3 linked regions of the Mytilus edulis genome follow. The protein of the gene in region 1 purifies or fractionates together with the protein of each later gene. This does not show direct contact. Links are inferred from orthologs where the notes say so. Each region holds a gene or a part of one and is shown in the gene's direction. Other genes may lie near its edges.

Evidence for each region. The genes of interacting proteins can lie anywhere in the genome.
Region 2: the proteins of C-Jun-amino-terminal kinase-interacting protein 4-like (region 1) and serine/threonine-protein kinase PLK1-like purify together in Homo sapiens (affinity purification with mass spectrometry; 7 studies listed by BioGRID and IntAct, counting the BioPlex papers as one, with this or other methods). This does not show direct contact. The link is inferred for Mytilus edulis from reciprocal best matches to the Homo sapiens genes SPAG9 and PLK1.
Region 3: the proteins of C-Jun-amino-terminal kinase-interacting protein 4-like (region 1) and nuclear factor NF-kappa-B p105 subunit-like purify together in Homo sapiens (affinity purification with mass spectrometry; 5 studies listed by BioGRID and IntAct, with this or other methods). This does not show direct contact. The link is inferred for Mytilus edulis from reciprocal best matches to the Homo sapiens genes SPAG9 and NFKB1.

Annotation. Positions count from the first base shown.
Region 1 is NC_092351.1:70,274,347-70,282,870, forward strand, and holds the start of C-Jun-amino-terminal kinase-interacting protein 4-like, read left to right. Parts: upstream 1-5,277; 5' UTR 5,278-5,442; coding exon 5,443-5,739; intron 5,740-8,524. Other genes in the region: uncharacterized protein, read right to left, coding at 283-382, 1,555-1,643, 2,019-2,149, 2,566-2,635, 3,299-3,399, 5,051-5,216. UniProt on the Homo sapiens protein: The JNK-interacting protein (JIP) group of scaffold proteins selectively mediates JNK signaling by aggregating specific components of the MAPK cascade to form a functional JNK signaling module.
Region 2 is NC_092350.1:30,189,486-30,197,311, reverse strand, and holds the start of serine/threonine-protein kinase PLK1-like, read left to right. Parts: upstream 1-4,508; 5' UTR 4,509-4,686; coding exon 4,687-4,791; intron 4,792-7,244; coding exon 7,245-7,352; intron 7,353-7,620; coding exon 7,621-7,737; intron 7,738-7,826. Other genes in the region: PIN2/TERF1-interacting telomerase inhibitor 1-like, read right to left, coding at 740-845, 1,267-1,423, 2,214-2,336, 4,212-4,284. UniProt on the Homo sapiens protein: Serine/threonine-protein kinase that performs several important functions throughout M phase of the cell cycle, including the regulation of centrosome maturation and spindle assembly, the removal of cohesins from chromosome arms, the inactivation of anaphase-promoting complex/cyclosome (APC/C) inhibitors, and the regulation of mitotic exit and cytokinesis.
Region 3 is NC_092352.1:47,167,337-47,175,212, reverse strand, and holds the start of nuclear factor NF-kappa-B p105 subunit-like, read left to right. Parts: upstream 1-4,558; 5' UTR 4,559-4,604; coding exon of another isoform or gene 4,605-4,623; 5' UTR 4,624-4,645; coding exon 4,646-4,679; intron 4,680-7,876.

The DNA of each region.
Region 1 (8,524 bases):
TGATGGCAAATCTGTGGTAGTCTCTTGTTCACATTTGTACACTTTGAAAATATTGTAGACTCTAGTGATTTGGAATTTGATTTATATTCAGATTTGTCTTTTGTAGAAAAACAATGTTGAACTCTAAATTTATATCTTGTTATTTTTTTTGGTGACATTGACATCATCTCCTTACATACAAAAAATATTTTTAACAACATCAAATAGTACCCATAAAAATATCTAACAACCTTAAATCAAAGGATAGTGAAGAGAGACTTTTAAAGTGTGTGATCACCTTACATTGTGCAGCAGAGGTCCAAGAACTAAAGCACTGTCCACACATCTGCCAGTGATAACAATATCGGCACCAAGGTCCAGAGCTCTAGCTATTGGTCCAGCTCTTCAAAAACAGAAAAGGTAATTTATATATTAGTAAACATGTAAGAGGCACAGTTCTAACTTTTGCTTTTTAAAATAAGCAGATGTGGTATAATTGCCAATGAGAAACTATACAACACATCCCAAATGATGTAGATGTTAGAATCTAAAGATCAGTCTACAGTCTTCAACAATGAGCAAAACATGGTAATTCCTAACAATATGATAGGTTTTGCCTCTTAGCCTTAATTTCATCTTGAGATAACATCATTAATAAGACTATGGTGATAACATACCTAAACCACAACTTTAATGTTCAGGGAACCAGTAAATATGGGTCAAAATGCTAATTTGACACAGATATTACTCAGTTCACTCCATAATCAACTTGCATACTAAGTGTCAAGATGATGTGAACACAAACTATAATTCATTAACAGAGAAAAGATCACTGGCAATGACAAATGAAACATAGCTGTGGACCTCTGAGAGAGTGAGACAGTCACTAAATTCATAATCAGGGACTTTTTCTTGGTGTATGTTTAACCTTGATAAAAGGTCGTCCTAGTATAAAATGGTGATTCTTGGTGAAATGAATGTTTGATTGGTGAGTAGTAAAGAAGATAAAATAATTTCTGAAAACTATGGATTTCAGCCATGTCTGTCATGTTTTTCTTTTATTTGTGTTTTAAGCAGAAATCAGGTTGTTTATTTCTCTTTTAAAAATTGTTTCACATTTTGTAATGCAGACCCTTTATTCCATAGTTAAAAATATGGATTTTGCTCATTGATTAAGGCTGTAATGTGACAGCGAGTGACCCTTTATTAGATAAATCCTTTGGTATCTGATGGAAAGTTGTCTCATTGGCAATCATTTATAACACTCCTCCTTCGTTCCCTTTATTAGATAAATCCTTTGGTCTTTGATGGAAAGTTGTCTCATTGGCAATCATTTATAACACTCCTCCTTCGTTCCCTTTATTAGATAAATCCTTTGGTCTTTGATGGAAAGTTGTCTCATTGGCAATCATTTATAACACTCCTCCTTCGTTCCCTTTGTTAGATAAATCCTTTGGTCTCTGATGGAAAGTTGTCTCATTGGCAATCATTTATAACACTCCTCCTTCGTTGTCCTCATTTTCATATTTAGAGAAAAAACATTACCCTTAACTGTAATGTATTTCACCAACTTACCCTAAATATGCATTCATACTGTGTACAGTTTTAGGGAATTGATCACCTGAATCCATATCAGTGATTGAACTGTTGATCAATTCTTTGCTCTGAAATAAGCAATAAATACTAAACAAAGGAAAAATGAAAAATCATACTAAATAATTCACTGTATTAAAACTTTTAAAATTGGTGGTCAATCAATATATAAAGCCTTGTTTCTTATGTTAATATATCAGCAGAATTTTTATAACATTATCAATATTTGTCACAAATTTTCACATAACATATTCTCTCCTAAATGGTTATTATACATAGGGGAAAATTCTACATTAGCCTTTAATTTTAAGTTGATCTTGTCGTCATTATGAACAGTATTAAAAAAGTTCTTCCTAAATTCTAAGGCCTACTTTCTAATGAATATTTTTTTGTATCCCTAGCAACATATTTTATACAACTATCATTTAATTGTGTCTGTTTTATACCTTAGGCATTAGGTCATCACCAGTAACAACAGCAATATTCATCTCGACACCAACTGAAGCACATATCTGTTTTAATGCATCAGCACAGGCCTGTGGATTTACACCACCAGCATTACTTATCACTTTTATACCTATGATATATATGAAGAATGTATACTGTCAAAATTCATTAAAGATATCAGGCTGTTATTAAACAACCAAATACATAGGGACTCATCAGTGTTGCTCCAATCAAACAATTGCAAGTCCAAATCAATTACTTAATTTATAAGTAAACCATTTAATTCTTTAGGCAGGTTGTATTTTTGCCAATTTGAGGGAGAGTCTGAAAGCAAAAGTAAACTGTTACCACAGAGATAAGTCTCACCTTTTTGTTACTTTGATTGTAAAATGCAAATGTTAAAATTAAAATAGCAATACTGTAACGTGTAAGTTATGCAAAAAAAGTCAAAGTCAATGAACCATGGCTAAATGTACAGGGTCCAAAAAATCTTATTGGCAATGAAATGACAGTCAATCTTTATTTGATATATATATAAAACAATACCTTTAGACTTGATATCTTTGATGAATGGTGCCATACAAATCTGTACAAAATCAGGTGCATACCCTAGATTCTACAATTAAATACATTAATACTGAATTACTTTATAGATTTGTGAAATATGCTGTTTATGTAATAATGTTGGTGATCAAAATGAAAAATACAACATATTTAACTGTCAATCTGCTACACAATATTGAAGCCATCACTGTATTTCTTTGGGAAAAAATAAATTATTAATTGGTGGGTTTTCAATGAAATATTAAGGTTGTACCTAACATCTTCACTTAGATTAATTTTGCTTGTTTAAATTTCATAAAATTTTGACAAGATATTAACTTTGACCCTTTGACAAAAATATAAAAATTTCAAAAAAATTGAACCAACTATTTTATCAGAAAAATTACACTGGTTATACAGCAGTTTCACTGATCATTGAGAAGCTCAATATTTACTTAACAACACCACATAATGAAAACGTTTAGCTTATTTTACAGAGTTATCTCCCTGTAGTGTTAGGTACCACCTTAAGTGAAGTCAATGTTATCATTCCATTACAAAAACATTCAATGTCATTAAAAATTTCTTTGCATTTGTGTGGGATGGCTGGTTTCATTACAATCATTTTGAAGATAACATATAGCCATCTTCATGACTTCAATCAACTCCATTATTCAATTATTCAGTATCTTTCAATCTATGATCTTAAAGTGACATGTAAATAAAATCTACTTACGGGATACTTATGTTTAGCTGAAATTAACAGCGACATTGTGATCTCTGACAGGTAATCAAACACCAGGTAATCTAACTTTGTACCATAGATCAATTGAGGAGCTAAAAAATACAACATAACATGTAAATTTAAAATTATAGAAAGTGTACCATAGATTAATTGAGGAGCTAAAAAATATAACATAAATTATAGAAAGTTTAACTTTGTACCATAGATCAATTGAGGAGCTAAAAAATACAACATAAATTATAGAAAGTCTAACTTTGTACCATAGATCAATTGAGGAGCTAAAAAATATAAAATTATTTATAGAAAGTATAACTTTGTACCATAGATCAATCGAGGAACTAAAATATATAACATAAAATTAAAATTATAGAAAGTCATATTTGTACCAAATAGATCAATTGAGGAGCTAAAAAATATAAAACTACTTATAGAAAGTCTAACTTTGTACCTTAGTATAGATCAATTGAGGAGCTAAAAAGTATTATTAACTATTAAAGAAAGTCTAACTTTGTACCATAGATAAATTGAGGAGCTAATAAACATAAATTAATCTTATAAAATAATAAATGAATCAACAAAATTTAACCAAACAGAGATTACAGATAATGTTTTATTCTCAAGCAAAATAGGATGTCAATACAAGCACATTTTTTAAATGGCTTCAAAAGAGAGGTGAAAGATACCATGAGTCTAAATTTAAAATGTCCTGGCAAAAAAAGAAAAACAAGAGCAAACAGCATACAAAACACTTAAGACTGTCAGAGAAACAAAACCAAAGATTGGTAGAAGGAATAAAAACAATTAAAAAATTTCTACATGAAAAACAAATATAACGGTAAGACAAAAAAAAGCACTGAATTAAGGGTACTCAAAGTTGCTGAAATGTAGTTCAAAGCCAACTTAGTCTTCAACTAGAGCAGTAAATAAAAAATATATTACCAGACTTAAGTATTAATCAGTACACATCCAATGGATTTAGTGTACAAATTCATAAACTCTAAGAAACACATCACCATACTACCAATACCATAGATGTAATACCCATTATTACATTTATGCTAATGTAACCTGAGAGCACAAATTTCATTACAAAATTGCCTCCACAGGGACTCAAACCCGGGACCTCTGTGTTACAAGGCAGCACGCTAACCGACTGAGCTAAAGAAGTACTTCCTTAGCTCAACCGCTTACGGCTGACTACAATGTAAGTAACTACTAAGTTTTTCTAAGGGCAGCAATCCTGTTACACTTCCCCCACCTCAAGAGTCATTATACTCTATAATGATGATATTTTCATCTTTTTTATATTTATATTTTAACCGTGGGTTATTATTGTTGGGCGCCAATGTAACCGGAGAGCACGAATTTCATTACAAAATTGCTTGTCTCCACCGGGACTCGAACCCGGGACCTCTGTGTTACAAGGCAGCGCGCTAACCGACTGAGCTAAAGAAGTACTTCCATAGCTCAACCGCTTACGGCTGACTAAGTATCTACTAAGTTTTTCTAAGGGAAGCAATCCTGTCACACTAATACTAATAGCAAATAATTATTTTGACCCAACATGTTATTGAATTAAAAATCTTGAAATTTCAATCTTGTTAGATTTATCTTTAACAATATTTCTATATTGTCTTGCTGTTTGCTAGGGAGGGGGAATCATTAATTAAAATTAAGTTTAAAAGTAATACTTGGGGCGATTTTATGGGACGAATTGACCTAATACAAACTTTGAACTCTTACCAGCCACAGCTGTATCCCCCCAAAAACCGCAGGCACATCCTATTCTGACTGTTTTGCCCTGCAGTATTTGGGAGGAAAATCTTAAGTGTGTTACTCGTATTTTTTGTGGTGCAATAAACTTCGAAATGGCACCCGAAATTCTCCTGAGGTGCCTGAACCCAGTCATGTTTGTTTTTGTATTGGCCCCCAAACCGGAAGTGGCTCATTCTTTCGCCAACGCATGCTCTGTACATCACATGATTAATTTATACATCAACTTGTCAATATGGACGACAGCTCAGACGTCAAAACAGAATTATTTCCTTTTGATCAAATCCCATACGTATAAACAAAATGTAGCTATATTTAGCAAACTCAATTATATATTTTATAGCTGATTGAAAATTTGAAAGATGGCTGAGATAGCCGAAACGGTGTATGGAACTAACGAGGAGGGCCATGTCATGTCAGAAAAGGTTTCAGCACTTGCCACGAATGTTTACAAAGAATTTGAAAGGATGATTAAAAAGTACGACGAAGATGTAGTCAAAGAGTTAATGCCATTAACTGTAGGTCTTTTAGAAGGTTTGGACCAGGCGCTGCAAGATAAACAAGAATCAGATGTAGAATTGGAACTCTTGAGAGATGATAATGAGCAGTTGTTGACACAGTATGAAAGGGAAAAACAGCTGCGAAAAGTAGCAGATCAGGTATTCACAAGAGACATCTTTTGCTTTAATGCGGAGTATAATAACAACCGATGCATGAGCACAAATAAATTAATCAGAAACCTTTAATCTCTACGACTTTGAATCCTCAAAACCCTCAATACTCATATCACACCTCAACCCCTGCTTTTATAGTTTATAGTTCAAATAATTATGATGTCTTGCAACATGTTTAACCCTGCCACATTATTTATGTATATGCCTGTCCCAAGTCAGGAGCCTGTAATTCAGTGGTTTTCGTTTGTTTATGTGTGACATATTTGTTTTTCGATCATTTTTTTACATAAATAAGGCCGTTAGTTTTCTTGTTTGAATTGTTTTACATTGTCTTATCGGTGCCTTTTATAGCTGACTATGCGGTATGGGCTTTGCTCATTGTTGAAGGCCGTACAGTGACCTATAGTTGTTAATGTCTGTGTCATTTTGGTCTTTTGTGGATAGTTGTCTCATTGGCAATCATACCACATCTTCTTTTTTATATTGCAAGATAAATTGTTTGGACTACCGCTGCATGTGTACGCTAAATTGATGCATTTCAGTTACAAAATAAGTTTGGCCACAGGCTGATTCAGTCACATTACCAATTTGACCATATTGATTATTCAATATGCAGACTGCAGTCACATTTTTTCATAATGGTCATACTGTAAACTATATTAAGTATATTTTACTAAATATTGTTTTGTAAACATGGTAAATGAATAAATATCATTGATCGAAAAAAGTGATTTTGTCATTTGATATTGACTACATTTTTTTTTTTTGGTGCATCTATAGTTGTGGAAGATAAGTACTTCTGTAACTAATTAATTTGGCCTCACAATTAATACTCTTATAATTTCTGGTAATCATGGTAATGAAAACACAATTTCCCTGGAGTTTAATTTGGTGCCTTATTTACATGACATTATTTTTGATTAAACAGAACAGTTTTGCATTGGTTTTATCACATACTGCCTTAGTGGTCCTGGCAACAAAATATACTTGCAGGCTTTATTTATGATATCTTTGTCAGATATATAGATTCAGTGCCATAATCATGATAATAGATTATGTGAATCAAAAGATTTCCGAACTCTGTGATTGAAGATAAGATTCATTGGATTGACGTAAATACTTTATAATTTTTCTTTTTCCATTTGAAGTCAAGTTACTTTTTTCTTTCATAATAATTTAACCTTAAATTTCACTCTACATAATAACATGCAAAATTGTAATTCCTAAGGGCCCCTTCTATAACCAAATGTCTTTGACTTTAATTTAAAATCTGGGTTTTCCCAATATAATTCCTCTGGTTAGGCAATTCTGATAATTTTGCATGTCTGTCAGAATGATTTCTCTTTTATCCTGCATTTTCAAGGGATCTGTCTTATATCCCATAAAGGTACATCCAGAAAAGATGCTTGTTACCAAAAGTTCTCTATTTTCTAAATTACATGAATTACTTGCATTTCTAGTCTTGATATCTTAAAAGTACATTTTTATACGACCGCAAATTTTGAAAAAATTTTCGTCGTATATTGCTATCACGTTGGCGTCGTCGTCGTCGTCGTCGTCGTCGTCCGGCGTCCGAATACTTTTAGTTTTCGCACTCTAACTTTAGTAAAAGTGAATGGAAATCTATGAAATTTTAACACAAGGTTTATGACCACAAAAGGAAGGTTGGTATTGATTTTGGGAGTTTTGGTCCCAACATTTTAGGAATTAGGGGCCAAAAAGGGCCCAAATAAGCATTTTCTTGGTTTTCGCACTATAACTTTAGTTTAAGTTAATAGAAATCTATGAAATTTTGACACAAGGTTTATGACCACAAAAGAACGGTTGGGATTGATTTTGGGAGTTTTGGTCTCAACAGTTTAGGAATTAGGGGCCAAAAAAGGGCCCAAATAAGCATTATTCTTGGTTTTCGCACTATAACATTAGTTTAAGTAAATAGAAATCAATGAAATTTAAACACAATGTTAATGACTACAAAAGGAAGGTTGGTATTGATTTTGGGAGTTTAGGTCCCAACAGTTTAGGAATTAGGGGCCAAAAAGGGACCCAAATAAGCATTTTTCTTGGTTTTCGCACCATAACGTTAGTATAAGTAAATAGAAATCTATGAAATTTAAACACAAGGTTTATGACCATAAAAGAAAGGTTGGGTTTGATTTTGGGAGTTTTGGTCCCAACATAATAAGGGGCCCAAAGGGTCCAAAATTAAACTTTTGTTTGATTTCATCAAAATTGAATAATTGGGGTTCTTTGATATGCCGAATCTACCTGTCATGACTGTGTATGTAGATTCTTAACTTTTGGTCCCGTTTCAAATTGGTCTACATTAAGGTCCAAAGGGTCCAAAATTAAACTTAGTTTGATTTTGACAAAAAATGAATCAGTTAGGTTCTTTGATATGCTGAATCTAAAAATGTACTTAGATTCTTGATTATTGGCCCAGTTTTCAAGTTGGTCCAAATCGGGGTCCAAAATTAAACTTTGTTTGATTTCATCAAAAATTGAATAAATGGGGTTCTTTGATATACCAAATCTAACTGTGTATGTAGATTCTTCATTTTTGGTCCTGTTTTCAAATTGGTCTACACTAAAGTCCAAAGGGTCCAAAATTAAACTTAGTCTGATTTTAACAAAAATTGAAATCTTGAAGTTCTTTGATATGCTGAATTCAAAAATGTACTTAGATTTTTTATTATGGGCCCAGTTTTCAAGTTGATCCAAATCAGGATCTAAAATTATTATATTAAGTATTGTGCAATAGCAAGTCTTT
Region 2 (7,826 bases), on another chromosome or scaffold:
GAATATCATACATGTCATACCCAAGTATAAAGAATAAAAATAAAAACATGGAAAAATACAAACATTCTACCCAAATTTCACATCTGCATGTTAGGGTTGAAAAATAAACAAAGTTCAATTTTATTGTAATAAACAGAGTAGAAGTAGCTGAAATGACTTAAAGTGCTAATTTTTCTTAATGCAAATTTTTGTGATCAATAGGACATGGTTCTGTATATATATATATACTAAGGTCATGCCAATGATGACGTTTGTATATCATGATCAATTTATCTGCAGTAATTAATTCTGTTCATCTTTCTACATTTTCTTGTACTGCATTCAATATCAAAGATAATCTTCAAATGTTGACTCACATTGATTGATTTAGAGCCATTTTACTGTAATATCTTAGATGTCATACTTTATTGTGCATTGATTTATTGTGAGTTAAAATAATTAATATCTGTCCATAGAACACCGAGCCCATTTTGAAAAATACAGAAAGTTCACATTATAATGAACAAGTGTAATAAACTAAGTTGATGCGAGTACAACTTCATGGTAAACTACCTTGACCAAACACTTAGTAAGGGACAGAAAGATAGACCAGAAATTATAATGCCCCCCCCCCCCCCCCCCTAATATTGTTTGTGGCATATAAAACCTCTCTTTATGTACATTTCATTCATTCTGAGATCTAGATAGTTTTCTTATTTAAACATTTCAATTTATGTAGAATTTGGAAATTGATTCTAACCGAGACTACGGTATCCTCTGTTTTTGTTGTACGTCTACCAAATATACAATCAAGGTCTTGACTGGATTTTGCAGAAAGGTCTTTACCTTTTGTAAACTTCTGGTAACTGAAATATTTTAAGATAAATCACTGAAAAAGTAGAGAGCATGATATCATTTACTAATGGAAAATTGTACACATTTTAGTATGTTTGCCAGTTACATGTATCTACAAAGTTGTTATAAATACAAATGTAAATATTACAAATTAGTTTTTCATATGTACACATTACATCTGGTACTAATGAAGTTGTAAATTCAATCATGTATATGGTTCGTGTTGAGAAATTACTTTATGAAATGTAATAGATTTTCTGAACAATGTTACAAGCTGTAGGTGTATTATAATCAAACAAATGATGATTCATAAAAATCAAGATTGTAAAGACAAGAAACAAACTTATGATGTCTAATAAATAGAAATAGACAATATCTTTAAACAAGCAAGATTATAAAATTATTTCTTAGCTTATGAACAAACAAACTTACTGTACACGACTTTTAGATGTTTTTGATCTGTTTTCAAGACTGGATACCTTTTCAGTATCAATCTGTGTATTAGATTGATTAAGGTTAGCTAGGAGAGCATTGAAGTCGTCCTGATGTGCTATCCAGTTATCTACTTGACTTTTAGAACATCCAAGACCTTAAAAATAAACATTGCAATAGATATCAAATTAATATATATAAATAGATATCTGTGTTGACTTGAGTTATCATTGATATGTTCATAATTATAAATTAACTGTTAACTAAACTGAATTTTTGAAATCAAAGGCTTTTCTACCTCAGGAATAGATTACCTTAACTGTATTTGGCAATTTTTTTAGGAATTTTGGTTCTAAATGTTTTAAACTTCGTACTTTATTTGGCCTTTTTAAAAAATTTTGATTCGAGCGTCAATTTTTAGTTTTTGATTTATTTTCGTGTGTTTAATTTTGGCAATTTCATTGGAGGCACCAAAAAAGCCAAAATAAAACTACAACCAAAATAACCCAATTTAAGGTATTTGTAATTATGTACTTTGCAGACCAAGTTTTTTCTTGTTAGAAAAGTATTTTTCCGCAGGTTTTGGTGTAACTATATGTTCAGTGTACTGGCAGTATGAATGTCTAAGTTGTTTTTGTACTTGACGTTTGAGTTGCTTATATATATGTTTATATGTTTTTTTCATCTCTGGGTGTTCAATAGACTCGGGGACTAGTTGGTTAAGTTTTGTTTTTAATTCTTGCCAAGGTTCATCAACAAAATATGTTTTTAGATTTTCTTATATTATATTATTTAAGTTATTTACTTCTTTGTTTATTGTGCCCAAGTTTGCCTTGTTGTAAAATGGTACAGTTCTTGGTGTCTATTTTAGCTAAATAATACAGAACATCAAAGATTTTCATCTTTCAGTTCATATCATATAACTAACAGACAGAATAAATACTAACCATGATTGTCATTTTTCAGAGATACTTTTACATGATCTGTTAGCCCATCTTCGTTTGCCCCAAGTCCCTTTCCTTTAGACCATCCAAACTTCTCCAACATTTTCTGTCCAAATTTAGATTCATCTGAAATATTTCAAAAAGTTTTATGTTAATTGTGATTTTTGAAATCTAAAATCAAATTCCTCATTTTCCAGATCAGTGATATTGTTTTTCTTAAATTACTGGAGAATAAAGGCTTTTTCCCCTGGAGAAGAATCCCAATTTGAAAATAAAATGGCTTAAAATTATTCCCAAAAAGACAATTTTTTTCCCAAACAGTGCAGTCAAGTAGTAATTGTGCATGAATACAAACTGAAAAACACTCATTTAAACATTTTTCATGCCTTAAAATTACTATATGTACAGATTTCAGGGTCTATTTATGTATCATCACTGACAATAAGGGCTTTTATTTCAAATGAGGGTTTACCTCTTAAAAGGGGATCTGCAAATTGAAGTTCCAGTCAAATTCATGGTTTATTACAAATTTCCCAATTTGATACAAATGATGCATATCTTCCCAATAAAAAAGGGTAGAGGTAGTTATGAAAAAAGCCAACAATATCACTGCAGATGCAATTTGAGTGTATCTTGATTATGGTTCATCAAAAGGATTGACAAATGTTACCCTCATGTGAAGTCAAGGTCATAAAACATCCCCTAGCTATAGTAGACAAATATGTTTATACCACAAAATCTACTCTCAAGAGGACAGATATGCATTGCATTTAAGAAAGTCTACCCAGTTAAACAGTTTAAATTCCCTATTACTATGGTGAATATTTCTATTGCCACTCAATTGTGCATGTCAATCAAAACATTCCATTTAATTCATTATTTTATGGGAATTCCAACTTGAAACTACTTTGAAGGAACAGTAAAATACACACAGTAAAATCCTGTTCAGTTTTTAGTTAAACTGGTTTCAAATTTGATTCAAAATTCATCAACTGCTCCAGTTGAACTGGGGTCATTTGATGGGAAACTCGCAACAGGCCTTGAGACAGACAGAAAGAAATTTACTTTAAGAGACATAAAATTTCCACAAAAAAGCACCAATTGGAGGATCACGTATTAACTCAGCTCATAACGAACTAAGACTAAATAAAATATCTCATAAAATTAGCCTGTAAGTTACATGTATATTGCATACTCCAACTACTAGAAGAATTTTATTGTGATGGACAATGTTGTTCATCTTATTTGAAATAAATTATTTGTTAACATATTTTATATTATAAAAACTTTTTTTCTTTAACAGATTACATGAAAGCAATAAGCAAGGATGTTAACAAAATAAATAGATGAACATTAAGACTTATGTCAGTTAATTTAAAGTATTGAAAAGCCATCACTGCCGTAAGTATGGTAAGGGTCAAAGTTAATAAAGAATTTTAATTTAAATAAAAACAGCTGAATACAGCAATGTGTACAGTTGGACACCTTTTCAAATACCTTTAAAATAATTAATGAAAAACGTAGTGTACACACCAATTTAATTACCTTATTACTGACAGTTGTACTATTGACACATGTTCTATCAACCATAAAACTAATTAAGAAGATAACTACGTGTTGTCACATGACTGTTTAAGAACCAAATATCAACTGACTTTACAACTACTGGGGTGCCTATGTGTGTTATTGGCACATGTTTGTTAGTGTACTTTGGGTTAAATTTGAATGCAAACTATGATTATATTATAGTTTATTCAGATCATGATATATATACAATCAATTCGTGCCCAAACAGAATACTGTCCAGCATACAAAATGACAGTAACAAGAGATACAAATGTACAGTATACAAAATAAGTCATCATAACTTTAGTTCAACTTCAGGAACACGTGGTAAATAACAGTTCATTTTTATTTTGCTTCCCGTACTTCTCTTTATTTTGACAATGTGGTAATGAAAGAGTGACATATATAGACAATTCTTCTGTAAACCCCCAATACCTTTACTCCAGTTTGAACCTCTTGGGTCAATAGATAGCTTTTGTTTTCTTCGAGGTTCTGCAAGCATTGACATTTTTGTGTATTGCAATCTTCAACTTCCGGTATTATTTTTAGATATCAGAATTTTGATTGGTCTACTTCAATACTATTCAACCAATTAAATAGTATGAATAGTCGTCTGTGTATTGCATGGAAAATATCCGAGGTATTCCAAAAGGTGACAAGAAACAACATGTCCACCTGGCGGAGCCAATTGACCAATCAAAAGTGCGGTTTTAAGATCTGACCAATCAAATTATTGTTGATTTGAATACCTTCCGAAGTACTCAAATTTGAAATTCGTCTGTGAAGTTGAATGGAGACTACGATATTTTTGAAAAATAGAGACAACTCTTTTTAAAATACTACTGCGGTGAAATAATCTCTCATGCTTTTTTCTTTTACCTGACCTACGCATCCAAATAGAAATATCAAAATGTCTAGCGCGAGAAGAGAAGAGATGAAAAAAGATATAATTCCTGACATGGTTGTGGATCCAAGCTCAGGGAAACGATATTTGAAAGGAAGATTTCTCGGAAAGGTAACACATTTGAATCTAAATAAAAAATTCTATGCCTTTTACTTACATATTAGAATTTCAATAAAAGAGTTTACTCAATATATACATTTTTAAAAGTAATTTGATACCTTTACCTTATTATTTTATTGATTATGCAAGTTATGACATGTCTAAGATTTGTGTTATGATAGTATAACAAATAAAAAATACACAAATTTCAAAATTATTCATCTATGAAAAGTCAATTTTAAAAATGTTTCGCGTGATTTCAATATAAGGAAACAAACCTGATAATTATTTTACCTTTCTTTGTATAATTTTCTAAGCTGAGATTTTGGCAAAGATCCAGAATTTTATATGTTTAACATTGTTAACATACAGCTGATTTCTTTATGCTAAAAAAAAATTAATACACATATTTGGAAATCTGTCCTGGTTGACCCGAGATTCTGTCCCATTGAACTTTTGACCTCATACAACAATCGCTTTTCCATTGTGGCTTCAGATTTTTTTGTATCATGGCATGGTCATTATAATTTGTGCAATCCAGTAATGGTGGAAAATATCCATAAGGTGTATCGGATATCAATCACATCTTTAACCTAGTAGAATTTGAATGTAAGGAGGTTGAGGATTGGGGGAACATCCTAAACCATATCCAAAAGGCAAAACAGTCTGCCAAACTTTTAGGTTTTGTTTGACTGAAAAAGAAATTTGAAGTTTTTCCACTATATATTCACCTAAAAAATTTGAGGATGTCTGTCTGACCGAATGAATTTTTGTCTGACATTTTGTCAGTTAGACAGAGTTTGGAATACACTGCAAAATCGGGAAATTTACAGTGAAAAAACTGATCTCCACTCCAGATAATAATGAAGGTGTTCAAGATGTTTTGGGTATCAAATTTTAGGGATATAAAAATAAATTAGATATCAGATATTTGCTGTCATGGTACGAACATTAAGGTTAATCATTATTTGGCCCCAAGACACCATGGCTGAATTATTATTGGTTCACAGAAATATGTGATAAAAGGAAGCATTTAATTAATTTAGACAAATCATTAAGGTGACTGTTGGTAATACACAGTATTAAATTTGTGAGGAGAAGGCATTTTTGTTGGCAATGACTGGACATCTAAATAGTCTTGTAAAATTTTGTAGTAATCATATCATTATAGACATAGAAAATATTGGCATCACTAAGGAAATTTGATTGTTGTATGACTTCATAATTCCAGTGTGTCAAGTTTTCAGTGAACTTGTTGCGCACAGATTTCCAAAATAGCAATATACAAAATTTGAAAAGTAACATTATGTACATTAAACCTGTGTTTAGCTTGCCATCAATAAATTATGCTTGCAGTGCACTACATTTTGTATAAATATTATATGTCTGTGCTAAAAACAGCCACCCTCATAATGATTTAAGATATATATATCCAGTGCAAAAATAAAGATTTATAGTTCTATGGGTAAAATATGGATTAGATATTTAAATGAAATTAATCCATTAAGAGCTTGTTTTTTACAAATCAGATTAACATGATTAACTAAACAAGATTTGTCTGCAATTAATTAAATGTCTATTCAGATCAATGGTTAGTTTTTGATTCACTGTACTTCTATAGACCAAAATAAAATATGTGTTTCTTGTAACTATTAAGAAATTGTGTTGTCTTCACCCCTTGTACATACATTGTATGGTGAAGTACAGTTCTGCTCTGCAAAAAAAAAGTTTACTATTATTTTTAATAGTATTTTTTTCCTAACATGCTGATAAGTTTTTTTTTTTATATATTTGTAACTTATAATTAGATATATATTTAGTGCTATATATAAAAAAGAAGATGTTGTATGATTGCCAATAAGACAACTATCCACAAAAGACCAAAATGACACAGACATTAACAACTATAGGTCACTGTACGGCCTTCAACAATGAGCAAAGCCCATACCGCATAGTCAGCTATAAAAGACCCCAATAAGACAATGTAAAACAATTCAAACGAGAAAACTAACGGCCTTACTTAGCTTTCTTACTGAAGATTTAATTAATTCCCAAAAATGTGGCTATGAAGATAAAAAAAAAAACGGACTAACTGCTGTACACTGTACTATCAAGTTGTATTATTGCCAATGAGACAATTTTTCATCAGAGTCCAAAGGATGTAAACAACTAAAGGGCGCACAACTGCCTTAAATCATGAAAAAGGGGGGGGGGGGGGGTATGATACAATATAGTATAAATAAAGCTTTTAAAGTTTCATATATAACAGTAAACTTAATCAATAAATGTGAAACAAATTCTTAGTATTAAACAAACATCTTGATATCATTTATGCTAAAAACAAATATAGCAGACAGCACCAAGGAATTATAGGTCCTGAATTATAGTTTTCCCCTTTTTACAGACACTGCAAAACATGAAGTGGAAGACACTGTAAATTTAAATGTTTTGTACCTTATTTACAGGGAGGATTTGCTAAATGCTACGAGTTGACAGATGTGGAAACAAAAGAACTATTTGCTGGGAAGGTTGTTCCCAAATCACTGCTGGTTAAACAACATCAGAAGGACAAGGTACTTTATATAATTATGTTTATTTACTCAATTATAAAAAAGCCAATAGAAATAATTGAAGTGTTTTGCATTTGTATCAAGAGTTCACTTGCATTGTGATCAGGCCCTTGCGAGTGAGAGGGATCAATTGCAAGGAAAGTCTAACTATTCAGGTTAGTTTCTTACATAAAGATAAATAAAATGCTAAATTCAAAAGAAAAAATGATTTTATAAAACAGAATTCATATGTATGCTGTACATAATTATTTATAAAACTTATATTTTTCAGATGACACAAGAAATCAACATCCACAGAAGTATATCACACAAGTACATTGTAAAGTTCCATTCCTTCTTTGAGGATTCTGATCATGTTTATATTCTACTAGAATTGTGTCGTAGAAGGGTAAGTAAAAAACTGTTAGCAATAAAAACATAAGGATTACAAATTTAGCCACAAATGGCACAATGAATTGTTAAGGCCAAAAAAATATA
Region 3 (7,876 bases), on another chromosome or scaffold:
GTTTCAAAAAGTTGGGGGCCAAAAGGGGCCCAAATAAGCATTTTTGTAGTTTCAAGTCAATAACTGATAACTTGTGTTTAAGTGTATAAATCTCTCTGAAATTATATCACAAGTTTCCATATTACAAAGGGACGGTTATGGGGGGTTATGGCTCAAATCATTAAGCAGATAGGGACAAAAAAGGGGAAAAACAAAGGTTTTTCTGGTTAAAGGCAATTTAGACAATTTAAAAGCAGTGTAAGGGAGGTTTAGAGAATTTTGTTGATAATTGTCTTAAAATGATTAGCTGTACAAATAAAATAGAAGTTACTTTTAATTGATATTTACTTAAACCATGACAAAATGCATAACTGACATGTATATCATTTTATTAACCGGCCAAAGCTTTTAAAATTTTAATATGTTGTTACTGACAACTAAATGAAGGTCAAGTTCAATAATGGCGATTTTGACTTTTACCGTTCAGGAGTTATGGTTCTTGAAAGATTGAAAAATGGAGTTTCCAGTCATGTCCGTGCATTTACACATGAACTGTTCTTCCAAAACTTCCCAAATTTTAATATGTTGTTACTGATGACAAAATGGAGGTCAAGTTCAATTATGACGATTTTGACTTTTACCGTTTAGGAGTTATGGTTCTTGAAAGATTGAAAAATGGTGTTTCCAGTCATATCCATGCATTTTCTCATGAACCATTCAACCAAAGCTTTTGAAATTTTTATATGTTGTTACTGATGACAAAATAGAGGTCAAGTTCAATTATGACGATTTTGACTTTTACCGTTCAGGAGTTATGGTTCTTGAAAGATTGAAAAATGGTGTTTCCAGTCGTGTCCGTGCATTTTCTCATGAACCATTCAACCAAAACTTTTGAAATTTTCATATGTTGTTACTGATGACAAAATAGAGGTCAAGTACAATAATGACGATTTTGACTTTTACCGTTCAGGAGTTATGGTTCTTGAAAGATCGTAAAATGGCGTTTCCATTCACGTTGTTACATTTACTCATAAACCATTCAATCTAAGCTTTTCAAATTTTAACATGTTGATACTGATGACAAAATGGAGGTCAAATTTGATATTGATGATTTTCACTTTCATCATTCATCAGTAATGGTTCTTGTGATATTGCCAGGACACAAATAAATGTTAATAAATCCGGTTTGCTGTCGTTGTGACAGCCTCTTGTATTTTAATATTTTAATGAGTACTTACATGTATTGTTGCAAACTCCATTAGAAATTTAAATTGAGATTATTTTTGGAGTAAGGGGAAGGGGAGGTGAAAACAAATTGGAAAAAGGGGGGGGGGGTAAATAAGAATTTGTGGGGGGTTACACTTTTTCTCTCATTTCAGATTTTAGAAATAATAAGAAAATTTCTTCAAATTATTTTTTTAGGGCATTATTCAACAGCATACTCAATTGCTCAAAAGCAAAATTGAACATTGATTCTGGCACACTGACCTCATGACCAAACACATGTTGCCACATTCATCAAATTAAGAATCAATTTTTACATGTAGACAATAGTTAATTACCTGTACCTTAGAAGTCTTATCTACCTTAATTGATTCTTACAACATTATAAACCTCAGGGCAATCATCAGGTGTCTTGAATATAATTTAATTTCTGACAAGAAATATTACACGCGATATCACCCGATATGGCAATGTTTATAGTAACATTGCCAAAACAGCACAAGGGCATTTGAGGGGGGGGGGGGGGGGGGCAGAAGTCTAAGGGCACAAAGGCTGTAGACTGTAGCATCTTCTATTTGGGTTAACACAAACACTGATTATTTTTACTGCATGTGATTTCATTTACTTTTTCAGTTCTAACTTATGTGTGGGTAACTGTAACATGTGTACTAACAGTTATCTTTACCATGAATTTACATGTTTAAATGTTCAACAAATCACTATTTATGCATAGGCTTTTATAATGCTTGTTTACAGAATTAGTTTTAAAATCTTGAAAACCATGCACTTTATTACATGATTGGTTGCCATGACTTACATGTACATGTATATAGATTTCCCGTTGAAATAATACCCATAATTTTACATGTGAAATAAATGTGGTTATCAAAACAAGTTGTGAATTCTTAGAAAAAAAATATAGTTACTTACATTTTTATATGCCTGTTTACAGGACGTATTATGGTACCATTTGTTGTCTGTCCGTCCGTCCACTATCAACATGTTGGACATTAACTCCAAAAGACTTTAATAAATTTGCATAAAACTTTGCTTACTTTGGTGAATTGTTTATATCTATTGACACAAAATGTGTTGACATTTCTTACAATGAATTGAAATACATTGTTATGCAAGTCTGAGCAAAGCCTCTAAAGAGATATAGAGAAACTGTAATAACACCCTTATGTTATTGCAGGAATATATTTTCTGTTATAACATAGGTGTACTTTGCATGATTGGTAAACTATGAGCTGTTGCAAAGATTAGTATACTTACGTGAGCTCAATTTCTTTTTTTTTTTTATAAATGTTAGAATTATGTTTCCAAGTTATGAGGTTTTATTCATTAAAAAAGGGGGAAATTTCAAGTTTCTGATAATAACTGAAGAATGATTTCACCAACTTGCAAAAAATTTTGTCAAGTTGTTAATATCATAACATGAGCTCCCTTTTGATTTTTTTGATTTTAGATTTTTTAAGTTACAGGGTTTTGTACATGTTGTTTGCAAAAAAGATGAATTTTCCAGTTATCAGACAATTAGTCAAAAATACTTTAGCAGTTCTCATGAAACTTTTGTGAATTGTTTAAATATCTATTGATGTAAGCCCCCTTAAGAATTTTATAAATTTTAGATTTTACATTTCTGAGTAATGGGGTTTTATTCATAAAAAAGGGGGAATTTTTCAGTTTTCGGATGATAATAACTTACAAATACTTTCAGCAATTCTCATGAACCTTTGGTGAATTGTTTATCTCTATTAAAGTAAGCTCCCTTGTGATTTTCACAAATTTCTAATTTGGCATTGAGAAGTAATTGAACTATATTCTTTGAAAATTTGACAGGCCCTCACGACGCAGCTGCTTATTTAAATTTGTCATTTCATTTTATTTTTTTTTTAATGTTAAATGACCCATCAATGTACATTGGTGATAATATCTCAATTTAATTCCTTGTGTCAAAATGTATTTAGATGCACAATATTTTAAACAGGAGACAAAATATCACACCATTCAAAATGTTTAAATTATGCTTGGATATCAGAAAAAGCTATTTTTTTGGTAACACTAAATGAGGATTACACATGAAGACAAAATTTCAGTCCTACATCAGATTAAGGTATTTTACCGTGAAATTGTGATCATATATATACTTTAAACCCAGTACACCTGTTCATTATGATATAAATTTAAAAAACAATTGTAAGCCAAAATAAAAAGGGTAATACCCGGGTTTGCTGTTCATTGAACATGAAAATGTGATAGTGCTAGTTTGGAATTGTGTCCTATTAAGGTTTATTCTTGTTTATTTTGTGTTTTACTTTTACAGCATTCAGTAACCTGAAAAAGGCAAAAGGGAAATTTGTGAGCATGTAAAATTGTTAAAACGCACCTTTTTTTTTGTGCCTGTACCAAGTTTGACTATAAAGAATATATATATATACAAGTATGCTTCTGGAGAATTTTGAGGAGTGCCTCTAGCAGCTTCATTTCAATCATGTGTTTTTAATATGCATTTTGCATTTTAAAAAAAATGCATTTTTAATCTAAACACTAAAACATGCATACCAAAGCTTTTTTTTAAATGTTCTCCTTGTTGGTTTGTTTAAGGTGGTACCCAACACTTTAGCTAAAATTAATTTGGGTCATTTAATTTTCTCAAAATTTTGACAAAGTATTTACTTTGACCCTTTTACAAAAATATAAAAATTTCAAAAAATTTGAACAAACCGTTTTGTCAGAAAAATTACACTGGTTATATAGCAGTTTGACAAACACTTATTTTGATCATTGAGAAGCTTAATATTCCCTTAACAACACAACGTAATTAAAACGTTTAGCTGATTTTACAGAGTTATCTCCCTGTAGTGTTAGGTACCACCTTAAGCCCCATTCCCAAATGTTTCTGTCCTTTAGCTAACTTTGATTTACTTCAACCAAATGATATTAAAAGAATACACAACACATATTTGCATAGACACAGATCAAGTTCAAATTTGGGTGGCGTCACTTCTACAGTTCTCAAGTTAGTTACCTTTATAATGTATTATGCATGTTGGGGCATCATCTGTGTCTTGTGGACACATTCTCAATTTATTTAACTTTTATTTTTCTCTACTGACAATGACTGAGTTTTTGATAGATGAATAAGTTAAACTATTGTTAATTATAAGAAACTAATTTATTCCCAAAGTTTAAAAGACACAAAAAAGAGGACGAAGACTCATTTTACATGTAAAAAACAGCCTTCAAAGGAAGAACAAACATTTTGCAATACCTTATTGACGAAACACTGAAATAAGATAATTAATGTACTTTAAATACCATATATACAAAAATTGGAAAGGCCCAAAAAGTTATATTTAGGACTATAAGCTTAAAATAGATTGAATGTAGGAAGGAAGATGATTAGGAAGTTGATAGGTAAAGTTACGCAATAATAATCATGCAGATTGAAGAAAGGCATAAGTCGCCATTAGGTAAGAGGGAGGGGAGGGTTAGGCACCTGCAAACTTTTGTTTTACCCTCCCACATTCTTTATGTCATGTATGTGCCTGTCCAAAGTTAGGAGCCTTCATTTGTGGCTGTCTGTTATACTTGTTTTTCTATGATTGTTTCGTACAAAAATTCAAGCCGTTAGTTTTCTCATATAAATTGTTTTATATTTGTCATTTCTGCATCTTTTATAGCTTGCTATGCGGCATTGTTATGCTTATTGTTGAAATCCACATGGTTACCTATAGTCATGATAGTTGTTAATGTGTACTTGTTGTCTTCTACGTCTTTTGGTCTCTGATGAAGAGTTGTCTCATTTGTAATTATAACATTTCTTCTTATCTTTACAGAACAAAAAAGGGTTATAATTTCATAGAATTGCATTCAAGTTACTGTAATAACAGATTACGTAAACTACTCATTGATGCCTTTTAAAACACTATATTGGTAGGATCTGTGATATATAAAAGCTCTGCTATAACATGTATATTTCTTTTGTGCTGTGAGACGATTTGATTTTTGTTAAAAGTTAAATTGACATAAAATAAACGTTATAGTAACCTATAAGATAGATAACTTAACAAATGATAAGAAGATTCCATTTAAAAGGACATTGTGACTTGTGTGTGTTTTTCTGGAAAAGATATAGTGAGCTGATTGTATGACATGAAGTATACACTCTATTGTATAATTTTAGTTCCTTATGTGGTTAAAAGGTGAATAAAGATTTTTTTTGTTGATATAAAGTCAATAACAGGTTCTGTCATGTATCTTATCCCGATAGGTAGCTATAGACAATCATATCAAATACAAAGTCACATCACTTTTTGAATAAATTATATAATTTGAAAGGTAAAATGCACTGTTCAATGCAGTTAAATTAAAATTAATCCAAACATGTTTTGTAAGTAGTCTTTTGTTTAAACTAGATCAAAACTATGGAAATGAGGAAAATCTCTACTAGAACAGGGAACTGTTTTATTAAACTGGTACTCAGTCTTCAGTTTTGAAATTAGTTTCAAGTTTTAACAGCCTGGAATATATAAATTCAATTGAAAGCTTTTATTTAAACTCAGTCTTGATTACGTCAGTCTTAAAATGTAGTTCAAGTAGGAGCTAGAGCTAGGCTTCTGGTTATTCTCTAGCATTTTGTCCAGGGTTCTAAAAGGAAATTGATATAAGACCAAAAATAATTTCAATTTTACCTGTTGTGTGAACCTGAAGATATGAACACTGTAGTTGGTTCTTGTTGAGATTGAAAATAAAATATAGAGAAAATTTCAGTAGTATTATACATGTTATATAATTAAACAAGCCATAATTTAAAAGAAAAGGAAAAAAGAATATATTGTAGGAGAACCAGTTAACAAAATTTTACTACAGAAATTATCACTAGAGAAAGGGCGTGCAAATGTATTTGGTGTCCATAAAAAGAAGAAAAAAAATTACTGCAGTTTTACAAGTGCCTACATCAAATACAATGTGTTTCATTATTTTTGATAGAATTGAATACTGGTATCAGCCTTTCAAAAACAATAACTTAATCACATTGTCATCTTTGTTTAAAGATTCTGATGTTCAATTGTTTTTTGGGGTGCAAATATCTTTTTCAATAAGGGTATGTGACCTGTCTTGTTAATCCAACCTTTTCATGTCCTGCTGTAGACTTTGCATTTTTTACCTCAAAGTCCTCTTCTCTGATAAGGTCTGTTTTTTTGGTCCTGAGTTAGTCATGGTAATGGTATTCTGAGACTGCTCTGATGTCTGACTACCTTTTCGGGACTCTCTCGGGCCATTGTCCCACGGCCCCAGCAAGTCCTATAAAGAGGCTGTAAGACTTCAGAGCAATCTCTGACTAGTTCCATGAATCATTGAATGTCCTTTACATGTATATTAGGCTTTTCTGTATAGTATATGTATATATATATATTCAAAAAACGTTTCTTTTCAAGCGGTGTACAGAATGATATATTAAAAATTAAATACACAAAAAGAGTTTTAAAAGCAGCATTGTCTAGCGCTTTCATCAATCTTGGGACTTTTCAAGACTATGAACGTTGTTATGGGGAACACATTAGTATTATGACGTAACGTCATTGTTCATAACATATAAAGTAGTATGACACGATGTTATTGTTCATGTAACTACTAAGCATTAAGCTTGTGTTCCCCATAGCGACATTCATAGTCTTGAAAAGTCCCAAGATTGATGAAAGCGCTAGACAATGCTGCTTTTAAAACTCTTTCGTGTATTTAATTTTTAATGTATATATATTTATATTGAAGTTTCTTTGATATTCCATTGTATAAAATATGATGAGATATTGATAACAGAAAGATATGGTCCTTAAATGTTACTTTTGTTGAATCAAAATTTTTAACTTCCTCTTTATCTGAAATATCGTAGGCGTGATTATTAAAGAAGTAGCCCAGCATAGGTTAGTGGAATGTATCGTTTAAGTATTTAGGAACAGGAAATAAAAAAAGATATCCTCAATAAATGTATGAGATGTAAACTGAACTAAAAGCAATACATTGAATTATCTTTGAGATTTATATTGTACAAATATGGTTGCCGTTTATTTTTTCCTTTTGACTGCTGTTTCTGAATAAATAGCAAATAAAAGAATAAAATGTTTATGGCCAGCAACTGTGTCAGAAACTTTAAAGGTAAATAGATTTATACCAGCAATCTCATGTTAGACATCTTGACATTATTTACTCCTGTTTATTTTTGTCTATAGAAAGTAAATGAAGGAAATTAATTTTCAACATTGCTGCAGGCATAAAAACAGATACAAATGTATTTAGAGTGAACATGGTGTATTTTATTGTGTTTACATGTTTATTTGTATAATTTTTGTGTAAAAAGTAAGAAAAATTGTTCGTCTTACTCAGTTTTTAAACAGGTAAATTCTTTAAAAATTATTAATCTGTTAAATTATTTTACTTGTTAAAATTATTTAATATATGTTGAACATCATGTTTTTTTAACATCCTGAAGATTTTTTTGGGTTATTAATCATTACACATGTAAATTTAAATCCATAACTTATTGTTTTGTATCATCAAATATCCTGTTTTTGTTTTCTCCTTTTTTGGCAATAAATATTTTTATTTTATCACCATAGATTTACCATTGTTTATTTTGAAATGGAATGCTAGCTATATGTGATCTCTT